Oreochromis niloticus: one gene and its partner. The protein of the gene in region 1 interacts with the protein of each later gene in a biochemical or structural test. Links are inferred from orthologs where the notes say so. Each region holds a gene or a part of one and is shown on either strand. Other genes may lie near its edges. The genes, in order: nr4a3 and six3a.

Region 1 (9,766 bases):
TGTCTGAAAAAACCCAGAATAATCAGACAACTACAGCATGAGATGCAGTGAGAGAATGCCAGGACATGTGACAGCGGGCAAGGAGAGGTCCATTTAAAAAAAAAAAAGACTGTGGTATAGTAGTATTGGTAACTGCACATCCTTTTTTCTGTTCCACCTGTCTTTTCAGCCACAGCCAAGTGTTAAATTAGGACTTTCTATTTCTGGTGTAACCATAGCATGAGGCAGCAATGAGGTCACAAAGGTGCCAAAGGAAAAAAATATATATCTTTAGGGATGTAGGATGTTTCCTTTTTTGTATGGTTTACTCACTTCACTATCTAGCTGGCTGATGAGGGATCTTATGTTTCAGGTGAAACACAACTACAGACTTAAGTTCACTTCAGTTCAAACAGTCACATTGTGCGGATAATTTAGGAACAGAACGTGAACCCTAATATGTAAACAATTCAATTTTAGGTTTGTAACTTTGGCTCTGGTTACAGTTAAGCCTGGTGTTAAACGCGTATTAGCTGTTTTGAGTACAGTGAGTCTTTGGGGAATTAATGCAAATCAATGCAATGGCCTCCTAAGTGACAAAATAAGTGGCTGTGCGAGTGTGACTGAGTCACCTGATACCCGACGCTGGTGGACGCAGTTGATTACCCACACATCCAATTCTATTAAAAGGACACAGTCATAATCTCTAATCTCTTCCAAGACTGGCGGAATAAGAGAGCAGGTTAATCTGGATTACACGTCAGGACCGTGAGCTCACAGCCCAGGCAGCTGACGGGCCAACGAGCCAGGAACAGGGGAAAAATAATGAACACTAACATAAAGATAGCTATAAGATGAGTTTATGCTATATGATTCATACCTGAAGATAAAGACAGTAGAAATGACCAATAAATTAATTTGCATATGGCACTAATGCAAAGTTTCATCCCCCACCCCCCCCCGAAAGTAGAGGGAATTTATCAGAGGGACTCCGAGCTGAGATAAGACAAAGAACAACACAAGACATGCAGAAGAAGAACAACTTGTGATCTATGCCTATAGGATATGTATGTAGGATACGATCTAGTAATAAGCTTATGATTTACAGAAGATTTGAATACGAGGAACACACAAGAAACATGTGCAGTCTTCAGGGTGCATTAAGACACCTGCACTCTCCAGGCACTCATCTGAACCAGAGCAAACCTCCCACCCATCCACCCACCCGTCTGCCCGATTAAATGTAAGAACATACGTTTAAACAAGCATGAATTGTGTGGAAATGTGAATTAAGAGGGGAAGTTTACACATAAATCACAACTCAAATGAGCCTCTGGACGCCTGTGGTTTTGGTGGCATGTGATCTGTATACCCTGCAGCTGTGATCGTGGCACAAAGGGACTGCCAAAGACTTTCAAAAGTAAAAGTTTTAATCACCAGTCACAGTTGAGCAGGCTACAAACAAAACTTGGCAACTGGCAGGAATGTCAGATGTCCTGCACATTTCACTGCATAACCTACATACCTTCGAGAGGAACTGGAAGGGAGTGAGTTTGGGACAGACGATTTGGTGGACAAGCAAGGCTTTTCTATACATGCACACATGGTCCCCCCCCCCGCAATTTCATGGCTTTTTTAAAACATCCTCTAGTTCACAACTTTTCATCCTCACCACTGAAAAGTGGTTAAAGCTCCCCTGCAGCAGCAGCAGCGGTTTAGCCTCAGCTGATACGCCTCATGTGAGGAGAAGAAGCAGCAGCAGCGGTGCTGTGCGAAGCTGCAAAACCATCACACACACAAACCTGTTGACTGTGTCTGTCTGACGACCTGACGGCTATTTATCTTCACATCTACGGTCTTTTCCACCCTGTTTCCCCCGCAGTGAGTGAGAGTGACACAGAGAGAGAGCCTGTGCTGTACTGGAGCTTTCTCTTGGGGTATGCCTGCTCTACTCTATCAGCTGACTGTAAAACTATCCGGCTAAAATAACAGGTTAACACTGAGTGTGCCGTTTTTGGGGAGCCGAAACTCATTTTCAAACTGCATCCCGAGGCTTCTTTAGCCGAATAAAAACGGGGTCACGCTTTACGGCTAAAAATACCTGTCTATAGCTATATTTGGCTTGGCTGGATCACAATCACAACGCTAAAATAGTCGGGCCCGCCCGACAATGAATAGGATGTCGGCTATCTCACTGTCTCCGTCGGCCAAGAGCTAAAATTAGCAACAAGGCTTGCGTCAATCACGAGCCTCAGTGCGTCAAGGCATTCCCCGCCCCCAGGGGCTGATCATTGGTCGGAATTAGCACGTTGACTGAAAAATACGCGCCTTGTGATTGGTGGTTGAGAATTATTATTCCCGGCGTCTCCGGAGGCGTTTTTTTAATTTTGAGGTTAGCGAGCGCGCAGAAGCGAAACTGATAGCTGCTTCTCACATCCCGTTCAGAGTCTGCTGCCTTCGCTGGCTGCTTGCAGTATTTCCCCACTCTTGACCACATTAGCCTCTCCACAATTTTAAATGTGTGTTTCAAAATTAGAGAGAGAGGGATTTAAGTCCATTCCAATGCCATCCTGTCTGACCTTTTTATGTTTTATTGCTATACAGACATTAATAAATTATATAAATCAGGTCATTTCACCAGCCTTCAAAACTGTCATCAACACACTTTTGTACATATATTTATTTTAAAACATATTAAAAAAAACCCAGCCTTAGATCATCCAGCTCACCCCCACTTAAAATATCCATGTATCAGGACTTTTCTTGATGTCGTTATCTTTTACCAAAATAAGGCTGTGGGATATTACCTTTTCCTGGGATATTACCTTTTTTAAAAACATATTTATCTGCATTTCTCTTAGAAAAATAACCCAGTTATAGTCTGAGCTTTAGGTGGTGATTTTTCATTTAATGCCTTGCCTGAAAGTTGTTCTCAGACTATGGGCATGAAGCCTGGTGAGACATGCAGACACTGAAGAAATACAGAGCGAACCAAAGTCAAAATAATATGATTTTATTTGCAGCCAAAATAAACACAGTTTTGCTAAAGGCTCTCCCTTTTGTGTTAATCATTAATTTAAAACATAAATGATGGTTATGTGGGTTGGCTTCTTTCCTGTTTCCGAGGGGTGTGCCAGGAAAAGTTTGAAAACCACCACCTTAAAGAAATGCTGGGAAATGAACCTTAGAGAAGCTGACTTATACTAACGGTGATGCTTGATGGTCAGTGCCCTGACCAGAAAACATGTCACACATAGTATTATGGTCTTTTTCTCTGAGTTGTGTTTGCAATTGGGTTCTTGGAGACCTGGATTACAAATGATCGCTCCTGTGAAGCACTTTGGGTCAACTGTTGTTTTGGTCTGTTGTTTTAAAACTGCGCTGTACAAAAAATAAAGAAATAAATGACTTTACTTAAGATAAAAAGTCTGTTCTGAGGCTCTTTATTTACAGGTTCTTATGTATCGGCAATTTCAGGTAAAAATCTGTCTGGAGCACATTAAAAAGGCACCAAAATTATGCAAGTGTGCTTTTATGGTGGTTTATAATGATATTATAATTTCATATGATCCCTTCTGGAAACACACCATAAAAGAGCTCCATTACATGGAGAGATGCTGCTTTTGAAAGGTTTGCTTGTGGATAGATGTGTACAATGGGTTAAAACATGCTTCTGAAATGTAATGGAGCACAAGTATCACCAGATAGTTGATTGGAAATATTTAGATACATCCCAGCATGTGTTCTGTATAGGAAAACATGCTCATGACTAAAATTATTGTTACCTTTATTAATATGCTGTGTTTGCAGAAAGAGAAATGGGAGATTTTGATGATGAACCTAAATTTAAAATCTATTTTATTAATATTTCTTTGCATTTTGTAAGGTTTTGTGTTTAGTTTATACTTTATTAAGTAATCTAGAAGAACAGCCTCTTTACAGTTCCTGCTAGTGGTGCAGGCTCGCCCGCCGGATCCCCCTCGGCTTCCTCCCCTGCAACCATCAAACCAACCGCCTCGCTCTCTGGCTCTCTCAGATTCTCTCTCCACCCCTCTCTCTCTCTCTTTCTCTGGCACGGCACACGGGGCTTATGTGTCTTGTACTGTACGGAGAGAGAGAGAGAGGGAGCTCTACACTGGGTGACGTCACCTCTCCCATGGCGTCACATTGACGTAGCGCATACCAAGAGCTCTGTGTGGAGGCAGAGCCCACATAAATGCACTATTTGACTTTCTCCCCTCAGACGGCGCACATAAACAAACGCGCGTTACAAGAGCACACTTTGCAAAGCACCCATCAGCACTGACACACTCAGCAGCACGGGGACGGACGCAGACGCGCTCTTTAGAGCCACTCGGGAGTTTGATGATTTATTTTTTATTTCATTTTCTACTTTTTCTACTTTAGAAAAAGTAAGTGGAAGGAACGGAACTTTTTTTCCTTTCCTTTTCTTTTTCTAATGCCGACGAATCCAGCGCCTCTCCGACATCACTAAGAGTGCTTTTATTATTATTTTTCTTTCCTGTCATTATTTCAACTCTTTGCGGTTGTTCTGGATGGAAAACGGATACTTCACGCCAAGTTATTAGCCTACTACATGTAAAGACGGAACCGCTACAGCAAACAAGTAAGTAAACTGAATGAATGAATGAATCTGTAGCGCTCTGCCTCACATCTTGGCGGAAACACGCAGAAGGAAGATAACCCTCAGCTGTACGTATTCAATTTTTTTGCCCACCTAAATCAAAAGCCATGATGGATTTACTACTCTAACATCATCTGTGCGCGTGGTGCCCAACTTTGTGCGCCCAACCTGTTGCTGCTCACGTCAGCCACCGGCACACGCGTGTTGCCGGTCATGTTTGTCCGCCTGTGCCTATGTGCGGGGTCTCCGACGGCGAATGAGGCTGAACTCTGAATTTAATTTGCGCTGGAGAAGGTATCGTATTCTTTCCGGTTGTCATGGAAATGAGATGCCTCTCACTCTCACAATGAATAGTGGAGTCGGACGCAGAAATGGTCTGAGTGGAGAGCGGTGTAACCTACATTCAGGCAGGAGCTGGGAGAGGAGAGTTAATGCTCTTTGATTTCAAGCCATGGTTTGTTTGGGTTTTTTGTTTTGTGTGTGTGTGTGTGGGGGGGTGTCTTATCGGAGTTTTTTTACATTTTTAATTTTTTGAGGGCGTGGTGTCTTTTTATAATATATATATATATATATGTGTGTGTAAGTGTGTGTTTGTGAGGTTGTGGGTGTGTTTGTGTTTAGATATCGCTCGGCTGATAGTCTGTGTCACACTGCGCTATGATTTAACCTCCAGTAACATGGAGTGAGCGTACAGTTAGCATTAACCCGTATATAATAAAACTGTCCCAAGATACACTGGTACTCAAATTGCTTCCGAATTTCATGAGCCATGTATCGCAGGAAAAACACCCTCAACCATAAAGCCACAACAACATTTCTGAAGCCCATCTTGAAGCATGCTCCAGCAGCTATCGTGCCTCTTGGCCAGTCACGTAGTTTATAATAATAAGCTGACAACACCGGGTTGAGGTACTTAAGTAAGCTGCTGGTTTTACCTTCTTTTCTCCCCTCAGTTCCCTCACACACACTCAGGTTTACGCACGCACGAACGCGCGCACGCAGGCTCCAGTGACAGGCTCCCACTCAGGGCTGATTTACAGTAGGCTAGGCTACTCGCATATTTCTCTGCTCTTTCCTTTATGTCCTTTCTTTTCTCTGTTTCTGTTTGCTGGAAGCCTCGCGCTGTCCGGAGTTATTGGTGCGAGGGGGCTACCGGGGGCTACCGGCGCTCCGGGGCGCGTGCTTTGCAGCTCTTATGTCGTTCTCTTGGTTACCGGTGCGCGCAGGGCCAGAGCCCCACCGACCGGCTCGGTCTGAGAATAAAGTAAAAGGGGGGCGGGTTCATTAAAAAAAGTAAGAAAAAGGCAGAATGTCTCACTTTGTACAAAAATAAGTTTGTTTGAAGTAAAAACACTTCATCTTCATCTCTTTAACGCCCTCGGTGGCTCTGATTAGAGCGTATTTACGCAGTTACGGGTTTAGCTTCACAACTTTATGTAAGAATGAGATGACTTCAACTTATTTCAAATGGACTCTCATTTGTGCTGTTACTGTAAGAAAATCATTTTTCAGGCCTAAAGGGGTCTCTTTTTTTCTCTCAGTGCTCAAATGGCTCCATACACAATTTAATAATGGCTTAACTGTTCCAAATCAGTCCTAATCAAATAAATGTTATACAGCTTGACTTGTTTATTTACTCTGGTTTGTCCTTTTTTGTTTATTCCAACCTATTTGGGGACTGTTAAAAGCCATATTCCGACAAAAGAACCACCGACAGGGGGTTCGTGGGTGTCCAGTAAGTCCTTTGAGAAGTGGTTCAAAGTTTGGTCAAAAGTGGCTGCTGACATGAAGCTGCAGGTGCCCCTAGTCTTGATCCGTATGAGGGTTGTGGGTTGTCACCAAGCTGTTTTGCGATACACACAGGGAGACTGTGTGGTCTTCTCAACTTGACCGTCTCATAGAGGGGTCTGTGTGTGGCGGAGAGAGAGCCACAGTGAGAGAGAGACAGAGTATATAGGAGTGTGTTACAGAAAGGGGGCGCTCTGGGCCTTGAAATCTTCCGGCCACGGTGCACCCTGCTGCAGTGAGAGGGAGTCGGAGGCGCACGGCGCACAGGAGCCCGCTGGTCTGGTTTCAGGTCCGACTCTCCCAATTTTCTAGATTTCTCTCTCCCCTCTGGATGAACCCTGAGCAGGCGAATGCGGTGGTGATCAGAGGCAAGAAAAGCGATGGCCCGGAGGCACTGGCGCAAGCTGCTTTTATAAAAGTTGTCACTTTTGTAGGTCTGTATTGTGATATTTTTTTTCATTATTATTATTTTGTTTCAGAAGTCGTGCATAGTTTGTTGACTGGTGGAATTTCTGTTTTGCGGTGCAAAATATCTGTTCGGCAGTAATTATGATAATAATAATAATAATAATAACGGCGCAGACTTTAGTGCTAAAATGAAACCTGTCGCCCACGTAGGCAAAGTTTTGAAATGAACCCAAAGTCCTCAGTTGTGGTTCTCTTTGTAGGATGCACTCAGTGACATATTCATTGTCAGAATTGCCCTGTGTTGGATGTAAAAGTCTAAATCTTATCCCTAATTTGCCTTCCAGCGTGTGCACTGGTAGTTGTTTGAATTTACGCCGTCTCAGCGCAGTGCTTTACATCCCCTGTTATCTCTTTCCACTGCTTTTAAACTGACTGAATCTCTCAGATGAGATTTTTGTGCCAATAACGATTTGCTTTTGAGATGAAACGAACGCTTTTCTGGTTGTCTTTAAATTGTGCAAAAATGTTTCTCTGTCCGATTTTTTTCTGAAAGTGTGAGGAAATTTTGAACACCGAATTCGAATTTGCTTAAGTTTGTGGAAGCAATTTAAACAAAGGTCTCCATTCTTGAGGGAGAAAAAAAAAAAAGAAAGAATTTTTCGCTTCTCTTTGAGTAATCTTTTTTTTTTTAAAGTCTTTACGAGCGTTTGAGGCACTTAGGCTACCTGATTATTCAGCCTGCCACTGGCTTTAACACAGCCATGTCTCACCCAGGCACAGGTTCGGAAGAGCGCGCCCAGCCGAGCTCGGAGCCCCGGCGATCGGACACTTCCTTAGCGACGCCCGCCGAGCCCTCCCCGCTCCAGGAGCCCTGCCCCGGCCGCAGCCACGCCACCCCTAAATCCCGGACACCCAGCACCATTCAGCGCGAGGCTCTTTCACCAGGTACAGAAACAAGCGCTCAGTCTGTCTTCACTTTCATCTCATCTTTTTTTTTCTTTCTTTCTTTCTTGTTTAATCTCCTTCTCATCTGATGCTTTTGTAAAGAGTGCAGCGGCTCTGACACTTTCATTTCGTGTTGCTGTTGTGGAGTGCTTGGTGATATGAGTCGGGTGATTGTTTTATTGTGGGGAAAAAAGAAAAAAACAACATTCCCAAAAATTAAAATATATATATATATATATATATATATATATATATATATATATATATATATACATATATATATATAAATCATTTTATTTAGTAGTTTAAAACACAGGGGTTAGATCTGAATATCAGCTGGTAGGCAGTCGTTTTATGTATGTGTTTTACTCCTGTTAAAGGTCAAAATATGACTTGAACTTTCCTGAATGTTCTGGTGATCTTTTGTTTGTGCTGCAGCCGTGAGCCCATGTGTATGTGTGTGGGTTGATTTTGTCTGGCAAGTGAGCTGACATTTCAGTCATTAAGATAAGACAATTCTGAGGCCAGGCACACTTATATCCAAAACCTGGAGGCAAAATGTGAATCATATATATATATATTTATATATAATACAATCACACAAACACACACACATATATATATGTGTGTGTGTGAGAGAGAGAGAGAGAGAGAGAGAGAGAGAGAGAGAGAGAGAGAATTTTGTCCATTATAATTCAATAGAGAAACTAGACTGTATACCCTGAAGTAACTGGTTGTGTAAGTGTCTCTGTGCTTTGTGGTTTTTTTGGGGGGGGGGGTTGTGTGCACAGTGTAAAGGGAACAAAAGTAAAAATCACTCTACTCATTGTGGGACGCTGACTCCCCGAAAATGTTTTATAGTTTATTGATATAAAAAATCTGTGTTTTTGTAATTTATGTCTGCACCTTCATGTTTTCATTTGTTAGATCTATGGCATTCTGACAATGAACAAGCGCACTCAGTTATTGGAACAGCTGCAGTTTGTCCAGTTGAAATGCACACCTCGAGGTTAGAGACTGTTTCCCTTTGCCTCACTATGCTGCACCACCTGTGTCTGACTCTGCTTGGGTTGTCTGTCCTCTTGCTTGCACACACACACGCACACAAACAGACACATATGCACACAACTGCTTCAATGCAAGTGTCACAAAGGCGACCCGATGGTGGTATTGGACTTTTGAGAATCCCTTACACTGACTTGCTTTGGTGACATTAACAACTAAGAAGCTCCGGTGATGGATTTCTATTTGCACTTGTGGTGAGTGTGTAAGAGAGGATGCAAGCTTGTAAGCATGGGTGTGTGAGTGAATGTTCGGCACGCCAACAAAAGTCAAGCAACGAAGACGGTGAGACACTCGCAGAGACAAGTGGTTTTACAGGTTTTCAGGATAAGGGTGTATGCTTTTGGTAGAATGAACATATACAAGTCCATGTTGACATCTTGAACATTATAAGCGGATGAACACACGTGGTGGTGTGTGTGTGTGTACGAGAAACAATTTCTTTACTCACCTGACAGACAAAAATCACACTACTTTGTAGCCTTTCTGCCTTTTTCTCTCTCATTCTTTCATCTCTTCACAGAAAAACCAAAAAATTACCATATTTAAATATAAACATGTGCATGTGCCACGTGCAGTAAGTCTTGCACACATTTCCACACTAATGGCCACTAATCTGAGGCTTGACCTACTGACACAACACAGAGAGCCACAACCTTTACCACTGTACTCTCCTTTTTTCAGTTTTTTTCTTTCGCTGGTTCTCTTCCTCCTCTGATGCCTAATCAGTTAAAAAAAAAAAAAAAAAAAAAGGTCTTTAGGTATAGCCCAGAAAGGCCCCATGACGCCCTTAATGCTGCATGTGTATTTTTCCACGTGGGTTGAAGAGCTGGTCACTCGCAGAAGAAGAAAAAAAATCTTGATGACGTCAAGCACACGTATGCCTACAGCTTGACTCATATCCTCAATTAAAATAAAAAGAAAGAAAGAAAGAAAGAA
Region 2 (9,283 bases), on another chromosome or scaffold:
AAGCCTCACTAGGGGCCAGACGAGGGGTGGACAGAGGGGCCAGAGCCCGATCTGTGCTCGGTGCTCTCGTGGGGGATGGAGGGTGATTATAAATGAACTTACTTCTGCAGGGGCAATAAGCTGACATGTCAAGCCTCATTCACCAAACAATAGAAGACATATGGTTTGTGATACGTGCATGCAAACACAAACACCCTCCTACGCCTATGTCTTGTCTCAGAACACACTTCTAATGACTGTTTTTTTTCTTTATCGATTAGACACATTTTAAATAAATATATAGCCTACGTATAATTTTACGCTGTAGTCCAATATGTGTTAATCTACACGGGGAAAAGCCTTTTTGCACAAATTTAAATATATAATGAAAACATTTGGATTCCTAACGCCATATTCAATGAAGAGCAGGCTATATGTACCCACACACAAACATGTACACACGCACACACACACTGCATGCATGCATCATAGAACCGGGCCTGCAGAGAAAAAGCAACACTCCCTGAGTGAGCGGAAGAAAAGGAGGTGGGGGAGAGGGAGGCCGGCTTGCAGCTCCACTCTTCCAGGGTCTCACACACAAGATCCGGGCGCACGGCTCCATTGAGAACGAGGAGGCTTTTGCATGGAGGTTCATTAGAAGTAACGAGTTGACACAAGGTAAATCTTAATGTTGAGGCGCCTTTCTCTACCGGCCCGGGGAGGAGCCCTCATTAACTGTCGCTAACAACCCGTGTAAATACACTGATTGGACAGCTCCGATACAAGCTCCCAGCCCTGCCAGGAAGTCCCCCTAATGAGACCACACAATAAAAACAATAAAAGAAAGGAGGGAGAGAGAGAGAGAGAGAGATGTTAAAACTTTTGTAAAAGCTTTACTATTAAAGTTGGAGCCACGTTTACAGATCAGTGACATTTGCGGTGAAAAAACGTTTTAAATTCAATCATGGCGTTTTTCTGTTTCTTTAATTTTAAATTTAGACACTATTGTGTGTCGTGCATGCATCTGCAAACGTAAACAGAGGTTTTGCCTATTGCTTATGTGATCACAAGTTGTTATTCAGAGGCTGTTTTAAGATATTGCAACCGACTTAATTGTTTTGGCGCTTGAGTTCACCATGGAATGAACCAAATCGTAATAGCGTCACATGCAGGTCTAATATTAATTTTTAAATGGTTTTAAAAAATAGAATGCAGTTGTTATAGCTGCTGACTATATGCTTTAATCGCATTTTTGCACTGCAAAAAATATCCAATTTGTTTTCATTTCATCAAAATTTCCTCAGATACGGTAAAAAAAAAAAAAAAAAATCCAGTGACACAAATTTTATGCATAGCATTTTTTTTAAAAGAAGCGGTATAATATTTCTAAAGAAAACGGAGTTCTGCATTTCTTGTACTAACTCGAAATTTTCACCAGAAACTTTAAACAGAAGCAGATGAAGTTATATCTGATCGAGATGTGTCCTTTTACATCCTTCTCCCAAATGTATGATACAGCCATTCATTTTCCCAAAAATAAACCCGTATTTTTAAAACTCAGTGCTACATTAAATGACACCTCTAGACTGATACTTTTTACAGTGTGGGGAGAAAGCAGCGTCTCCGTACCCTGGACTAGCCAGCATGGGATGGAGGCGATTGTGCGCCCCGTCCCGACAGCATCACACATCTGCTCTGCAAAGACAGATCTTCCCTATTCTCGGTGAGGGAAAGGTCAGATAACACCAAATGTAACTTTTCTGATCTAAAGGATAGATTAACCTCATATCAAGGTCTGTTAAGATTTTTCTGTTTAATTCCATATTTTTGTTTAAATAAATGAATTGTCCGCAAAAATAACAACGAGTCAACAACGTCGCAGACGGAAATTGCTCTGCTTACATTTAACAGAACTTACAGACACTGCAGCTCGATTTCCATCCTACTTTTGGACAAACTGACCAGTGAAATAACCGTGAAGCGGTGCCATCTCCAGCTACAGCTTCCAAGCTCAAATGGTGACCGCTCGTGGACTGGAGCCAGCTTACAGCCCTGCAGGAGACAAGAACGAGCAAGGTGGGGGGGGAAAGGTAATTCCTGATATTCTGAGAGAAAAACACAAGCGTTGAGTTTCCACGTGATTAAAAGAAAATTGCATTTCTCTGTTGGCAGGATAATAATAAATGCATCCTCTGGCGCGTGCGAAAATAAATTCAGCAGAAACTAGACAGCCTTGTTCTAAGAGAAAAGCAAAAGAGAAAACCTTTTTTTTTGTACGTACCAGTCATTTCTCCAAAGTGTCTGTGTAATGTTGAGATGAATCCAGGATGGAGCAGTAGGCACATGTGCCTCTCCTGTGTTTGCCAGGGAGGGGTGTGCTGCCTTTTCTGGGAAGCTTCTGCCAAACCGGGGTCAACGAGGGAGCAAAAAATAAAACAAGACCCTTTCTTTCGTGCCTTCTCTTTCCCTCTTACCTTTTACAGTCAACACCTTTTCTTTCTTTCTCTCATCCGGTCCCCTTCTCCCTCTCTCACTCCCAAACGTGACGTAACATCAGCTTTGTTTATTTGCTCCCCTTATTGGAACAGACAGAAAAAGAAATATAACTACTTAATGAAGATTAACGAACACTTTTAGACGCAATATGTTCCGATAGGACTAACATATCATGGTCAATGAACAGTATTACCCTATCACATTAACAACTTCAAATAAATAAAAAAAGAAACTTGTTTTATTTATACAAAACTTTTCCAAACAAAGTTTGACATTCCATTTTACGATCAGCCAAAAGGAATGGGAAGCGAGATCCAGCTGCTTAACAGACACGGACGCCTGTTCCTGCTTGACCAGCATGTTTCCAGTTTTTTAGCATGAAAAATGCTGTTTGTGTTGTCTTGTTTGGAGGTTTAGGCTGTAAGTAAACGGAGAAGACGCTAAATGCTCAATGTGCATTCAGAGCTCTCGTCCCCCGCTGCTAGGAACATTCAGCAAGCTCTCGGATAAACACACAATTACGGCAGGTGAATAAACTTGTTTGGGAGGTGTTAATTACATGCTTAACATAAACAAAAGCCATGTAAAAGAATGTGAATTACCAGTGGCTTTTCTCCCTCAATCCCCATTCAGGTTTTACATTTCACCTCTAGTCTTTTCTAAGAGTGATTTCCGAATTGCCTGCGAGGGCTACTCCCAAACAAGGCTCCTCCAAAACATAATGCTACATAATACCTGCAGCCTTGGGTTGAATGGTGATCAGCTAAATTGGTACACCAGGAACCCGGTCAGGTAGGAGGCTTTGCATATTTGGAGAAGTGCTGCTAAGCCCGCACTCTCAACTTCATGTTGGGGTCATGCATGTGTGTATATGTGTGTGAGAGAGAAAGAGAGAAAGAGAAAGAGGAGGGGGTATAGGCTAGGAGGTTAGTTTTAACACCAGCATGAAAATACCAGCCTTTACTTCCAGTCCACAGAGCTTTCCAACGGGACCAATTCAAGTGCCACTTGGAATTAGTCCTCCTGAGGTTCGTATAGGAGCGCAGTGGACAGGTTTGATCCCATACTCTACCCTGCCCCCACACGCACAAACACGCGCGCAAACTCCAGAAGTAACACACGAACCAAACGCCTGACCCTGCTGCAAGATCATCACAACGCCCACTCTGCATCACATACACCTCCAGACACAGACACTCGCACCCCACTCCTGCACGCACATGTTCGCACGAGTTAAAGCACTGCTTTACCTAAAACGCGTAATAGTGCGCCAGTGTTGGCTAATTGCTCGGCGGCAATCACGTTGTTTAAGCGCATCAGGTAAGGTTTGTGGTGGACATAAACAGGCAGCACTGACTATACATGCACGCTGAGGTACTCACTGTCCCTCCAAGCTTGAAGTCGTTGGTCAGCCGGGAGAATGTGCAACTCGGAGAGAGGAAAGGGAACGTTTTGAATTCCTGAATGATTTTGTAGAAAGGCGGCTTAGGATCATTATGTCAGCTTTGCTGAGGGTGGATTAAGCGAAGTCTAGATTCTATGCCCTGTACACGGCTCTTTCACAATGTGAGCACTGTTCGTGTTAGACTGAATTCACACTATTTTAACACCCTATAAGCCCTGTCTAAATATGAAGCCAGTTTAGCCATAAACATGAAAATCACACCGCCGTGGCTACCACTATAAGCCGAGTCCTATGACTGAATGTGGACATTGATCATGTCCTTACCACTAGATCAAAAAAAATGAAATAGCTTTTATGTCCCCAAGAACCTTTCATGTTGCCATTTGATTGTAATTCCAATACTAGCCTAATAGTTTTAATTAGAGGGCCGCGCCATAAAAAACGCGATAAACTGTTAAAAGGGCGATGCCACTGGCAAATTAGTTTTCGCACTACAATGCCGTGATCTTTGTTCAATCAACACAATGCTGCGCGTCGATATTAATTTGTAACAATAAATTCTGTTGGTTGGAGAGAAGGCAACGGGCAGGGGGCCAGGACTGCACCCAGCGTCCCAGAGGCAGGGCCGGGGACAGCAGGAGGGGGAGCGGATCACTGCAGTATACCCCCGGACAAGTACCCACCCATCATAAAGTGACCACACAGAACAGCTAGGCCGAGTAAAGTCATGCGCGGATTATGTCATAAAATTGCAAACATGCAGTTTTTTAAACCATCGACGGATCCAGGGCAAAAAACAAACAAAAGACAGAAACAAAAGACATAAAACAAAAACCCTTAAACGCTTAAGGGACTACATCATAGTTTGTTTGTTTTTTCAAAAGAACAAGAAAATGTAAAGCGATCACATGTATCTATGAAAAGGAAAATGTAACCCAGAAGACTAACGCTTTCATTTCCGTCGCACAAAAATGAATGGAGTGATAAAAAGATTCTAAAAAGTAGCTACTACAGGAAAAACTATACAAAAACAATGTGCAAATTGACTCGCTTCTATTCAAAACGTGTATTCCCGAGTTGCAGTCATTGGTTGTCCATTTGTCACCCATTTAAAGCTCCCTCTGCCTCCCTCCCTCCCTTCCCGTCTCTGCTAAGCATCTCCAGTCTACATATCTTCTTTAGCTTTAACGAGCCTCGTTAAGATCGCAATAATATTCCACCCTCTAATTGCTCATTCCATTCAGCAGATAGGCGAGCATTGGCTTGTGCCTGATGCGCGCGATGCGGTGGGAGGGTTGCTGTGGAGATCGGAGACTCTGATAACCCCCCGTGCGTGCTGCACAAGTGGTGAAAGCCTCGCGCTACGTACTGGCTAATGATTGGCACGCTTGACAGTGATTGGCAGGGCTGCCATGACAACGCTACAACGACACCAAGAAGACCAATAGAAAAGGGAAACAAAATGTTTCAATGCTACACTCAACGGCGGATTTAGGGGGGAGATATTATGAGGCTGGTGTCATTAGGCGATAGCCATTGAATCATTCAATCTTTTTTACTTGCCGTATTTTTCGGTTTTTCCCTTTTTCTCGATAATTTTCTTTCTCTCTCAGGTCATTTCCATGGTTTTCAGATCCCCTTTAGAGCTTTATCCCTCCCATTTCTTCCTGCCAAACTTCGCTGATCGCCCTCTGCTCCTGGCGAACAGCGCTCCCACCACCAGGTCTCCAGAAGACTTGTCCATGTTTCAACTACCGACCCTCAACTTTTCCCCGGAGCAGGTGGCAAGCGTCTGTGAGACGCTGGAAGAGACCGGGGACATCGAACGGCTGGGCCGCTTCCTCTGGTCCTTGCCTGTGGCTCCGGGAGCGTGCGAGGCGATCAACAAGCATGAGTCCATCCTGCGCGCTCGGGCCGTGGTGGCGTTCCACACCGGGAATTTCAGAGACCTCTACCACATCCTGGAGAACCACAAGTTCACCAAGGACTCTCATGGCAAACTGCAGGCCATGTGGCTGGAAGCTCACTACCAGGAGGCCGAGAAGCTCCGCGGTCGTCCCCTCGGACCTGTCGATAAGTACCGGGTACGGAAGAAGTTTCCGCTGCCTCGGACCATCTGGGACGGCGAGCAGAAGACGCACTGTTTCAAAGAGCGGACACGGAGCCTGTTGAGGGAGTGGTACCTTCAGGACCCATATCCAAATCCCAGCAAGAAAAGGGAACTGGCTCAAGCCACTGGACTCACTCCCACACAGGTCGGAAACTGGTTTAAAAACCGGAGGCAAAGAGACAGAGCTGCGGCGGCCAAAAACAGGTTGGTGACTTTTCAGTATGCCGTCGAAACACGAGCATGCACACAAGTTTGTCTTTAATGCACATTCAAAAGAAAATACGACCTTTTCAAGCCTTATATTGCGATTGGAGACTGTCTAGGAAAAAGATAAGTCTGGCTGTCATGTGGAGGGAGTGCGCTGCGGCGACATTTTGTTATCAAATCCGGATAAACATCGAAAATATTCTTTTTGTAGATATCCAGAGTTCTCCTAAGCATAAAAACTTCATTATTATTATCAAAAATCGGCTTTTAAACATTTTTTGCAGATTGATTATTTTTTAATGTATTTTAAATTGAACGCAAATTTTATTTAAGAATGAAAAATACAAATAATCTAAAGTTTGGTATTTTAAAAAAACTGACTAATAAAATAGTACAAACACAAACTACATTTGTTGTCAATCTTGAGAAGCGATAATTGAGCCGAGTTCTTTTTAAACAGAAACACCCTATTTATATTTTTACAAGAGTGAAAGTATTCTAGCAACATATGAAGATTATTGAATTTATATTTAGAAAAACATTCCGCTGCAGGATTTGTTTAATTTTACAACTATTTCGCTTGTAAAATTGTAAACAACCTAGTGAATTATTTCAATCAGCTGAAATAAAAACAGGACAGTGTTTTTTAAAAATAAGTATTCTAAAGTTAAATCGTCTCATCTTTACATTTAAACACATATTAAATTGTTAAAATTATAAAATTATTTATTTATTTATGTTTATTGATAAATGTAACTTCTTAATGCAAGCGTTAAGCGTTTTAACATCAAATGTTGCTTATTGTTGTTGAACACAACGATTATCTCAAAGGATAATAGCGATATTATTGATATCTGAGCATGCGTAGAGAAAAACATCTGAAGACATAGGCTGTATTCATAACATTAAGTGTAGTATCATTCCATTGAAATGCCATAATTGATTAGAAAATACTTTGGAGAGCACTAAGCCATATGAACAGTACTCTAATATTTTTGCTAAATGAATAGATATATTTCCAGGCTGACATTATCCCCACGCGATGGAGTTATTATCATGAGTGGATTGGAGATAAACATTTAGGATGATTGGAGTAACCTGGATCTCAACGTCACTCATTCATACACGTCCCCTACCATCAGACTAAAACACATCTGTGCCAAAGGCTCACGGCAGTTTGTCATTGTGAGAATACACATATTTTATTTCAAACAATGATATATAATTATTTTGGGGGTTTTAGGCGTGCAAAGTCCTGCTGATGAGCATGAATACACGTGTGCAGAATGAAGAAATAATAATAAACGCTGAACAAACTCAGAGCAGTAACATAGATTTCCAAATGGAAAATGTCTTCAAACTGCCCATATCAAAGACAGCAAGTTGGAATTGAAGCTTTCCTGCACTGGCAACATGGATCATTTATATTCCAGAGTGTTGACTAGGACGTTGATCTCTAAGAAAAAAAAAATAAGTTAAAAAACAACAACAACAACACAGCCCTAGTACATTTCCTCCAACATTTGGTAGTCTAAATAGTGGTGTGTTTTGTCCCCTGAAAGCTGGCTATTTGATAAAAGCACGCATGCATGGCTGGGGCCGGCAGGGGGAAAGAAAGGCGAGTTTGAACCCCTATTTTGCAGGAGGAGGAGGGGAAGGGGGACATTCTCAGGTCTAATTGCCATTTCTCTCATTTTTTCTCTTTTTTCCCCCTCCTCGTTTCTTTTCTTCTCCAGGCTCCAGCACCAAGCAATAGGACCAGCCGGTATGAGGTCCCTCTCAGAGGCCGGTCTCACCCCTCACAGCTCGGCAGAGTCGCCTTCAACCGCGGCAAGTCCCACCACCAGCGTTTCCAGTATGACAGAGAGAGTTGATACTGGGACGTCCATCCTGTCCGTCACATCCAGTGACTCGGAGTGCGATGTATGATACGGAGAAAAAAAACACAAAAACAAACAAAAAGAGAAATATTTACAGGGAAAATGGACCTGAGAGGAAGAAAAAAGACTATGAAATATCGCGGATGAAAAAAGGACCGATTGATATAAATATTAAAATAAAAAGAGTTAAAAGCACGTCGTTTTTTTTTTGTTTTTGTTTTTTTTATTATTAAAAAGCGCTTTCAAAGGACCCACGCCTCCCCCTCCTCTTCATCCCCCACACCACCACCACCATACTACTAGACTACTTGCATGATGGTTTTTTTTTTAATTTTATTTTTGATTTTGTAATCAGGGAAATAATCCTGAATGCAAGATTTTCCATCAGGAACATCGATCAGAGGGAATAAAACAGATCGTCTTGGTGTTTTCGTCGCACCTTTTCCCATCTCCGGTTCTAGTCCAAGTGATGATGATGATGATATGGCGGTGAAGCAGCCGCCATGCAGACAAGATGCAATCCTGTTTTTACTTTGTGTTCATCAGACAATCATTTTAAGTCGTAAGCACCTTTTTTTAATACACTTCTGTCACTGCCTGTGGGGTACATGGTCAAAAAATGTCGAACAGAACCGTTTATGACTGTATCAGAATTTTATTTTTATTTTCGAAATTTTATATTGAATTATGTATATCTCAAATAATGCGATCATTCTCCCGGTCTGTAATATACGTGTAGAAATATGCTTGTACATAATTATTGCTCTCCCCCGTGTCATCCTCTTTTCTATCCCTTCCTCACTTTTCTTGACTTGGTGTTCCTACATAAAATATTTGTCAAAACTTAAAACTGAAGTGCTCTAGGCGTTTTTGTTGGTTTTCTTTGATTTTTGGTGGGTTGTTAATGACAAAAAAACCAAAACCAAAAACATATATATACTCTTCCGTCCACCGGGGTCACTCTGAGCGCTTATTTGCGTTTGCCAATGTCATTTCCCTTTCCTTGCGTAGTTATTATGTGCCTTGTAGTTAAGACTCTAAAAATCAAACGCACTATTCATTTTGCTATACCTCTTTGCATGATGATGTCTGTATTTCCATCCGATTACGGATAAGGACAGTGATAAGTGGCTAAACACATGATCATATTGGATCATTATTGGATTGTGGAAGCATTAATGCTCATCGTGGCTAATCCAGCCTCAG

What was found.
Region 2: the proteins of nr4a3 (region 1) and six3a form a complex in vitro, tested with the Homo sapiens proteins (3 studies listed by BioGRID). The link is inferred for Oreochromis niloticus from reciprocal best matches to the Homo sapiens genes NR4A3 and SIX3.

Annotation. Positions count from the first base shown.
Region 1 is NC_031976.2:19,863,234-19,872,999, forward strand, and holds the start of nr4a3 (nuclear receptor subfamily 4 group A member 3), read left to right. Parts: upstream 1-5,190; 5' UTR 5,191-6,743; coding exon 6,744-6,846; intron 6,847-7,594; coding exon 7,595-7,765; intron 7,766-9,766. UniProt on the Homo sapiens protein: Transcriptional activator that binds to regulatory elements in promoter regions in a cell- and response element (target)-specific manner.
Region 2 is NC_031978.2:10,860,669-10,869,951, reverse strand, and holds six3a (homeobox protein SIX3a), read left to right. Parts: upstream 1-5,352; 5' UTR 5,353-5,502; coding exon 5,503-6,194; intron 6,195-7,933; coding exon 7,934-8,126; 3' UTR 8,127-8,927; downstream 8,928-9,283. UniProt on the Homo sapiens protein: Transcriptional regulator which can act as both a transcriptional repressor and activator by binding a ATTA homeodomain core recognition sequence on these target genes.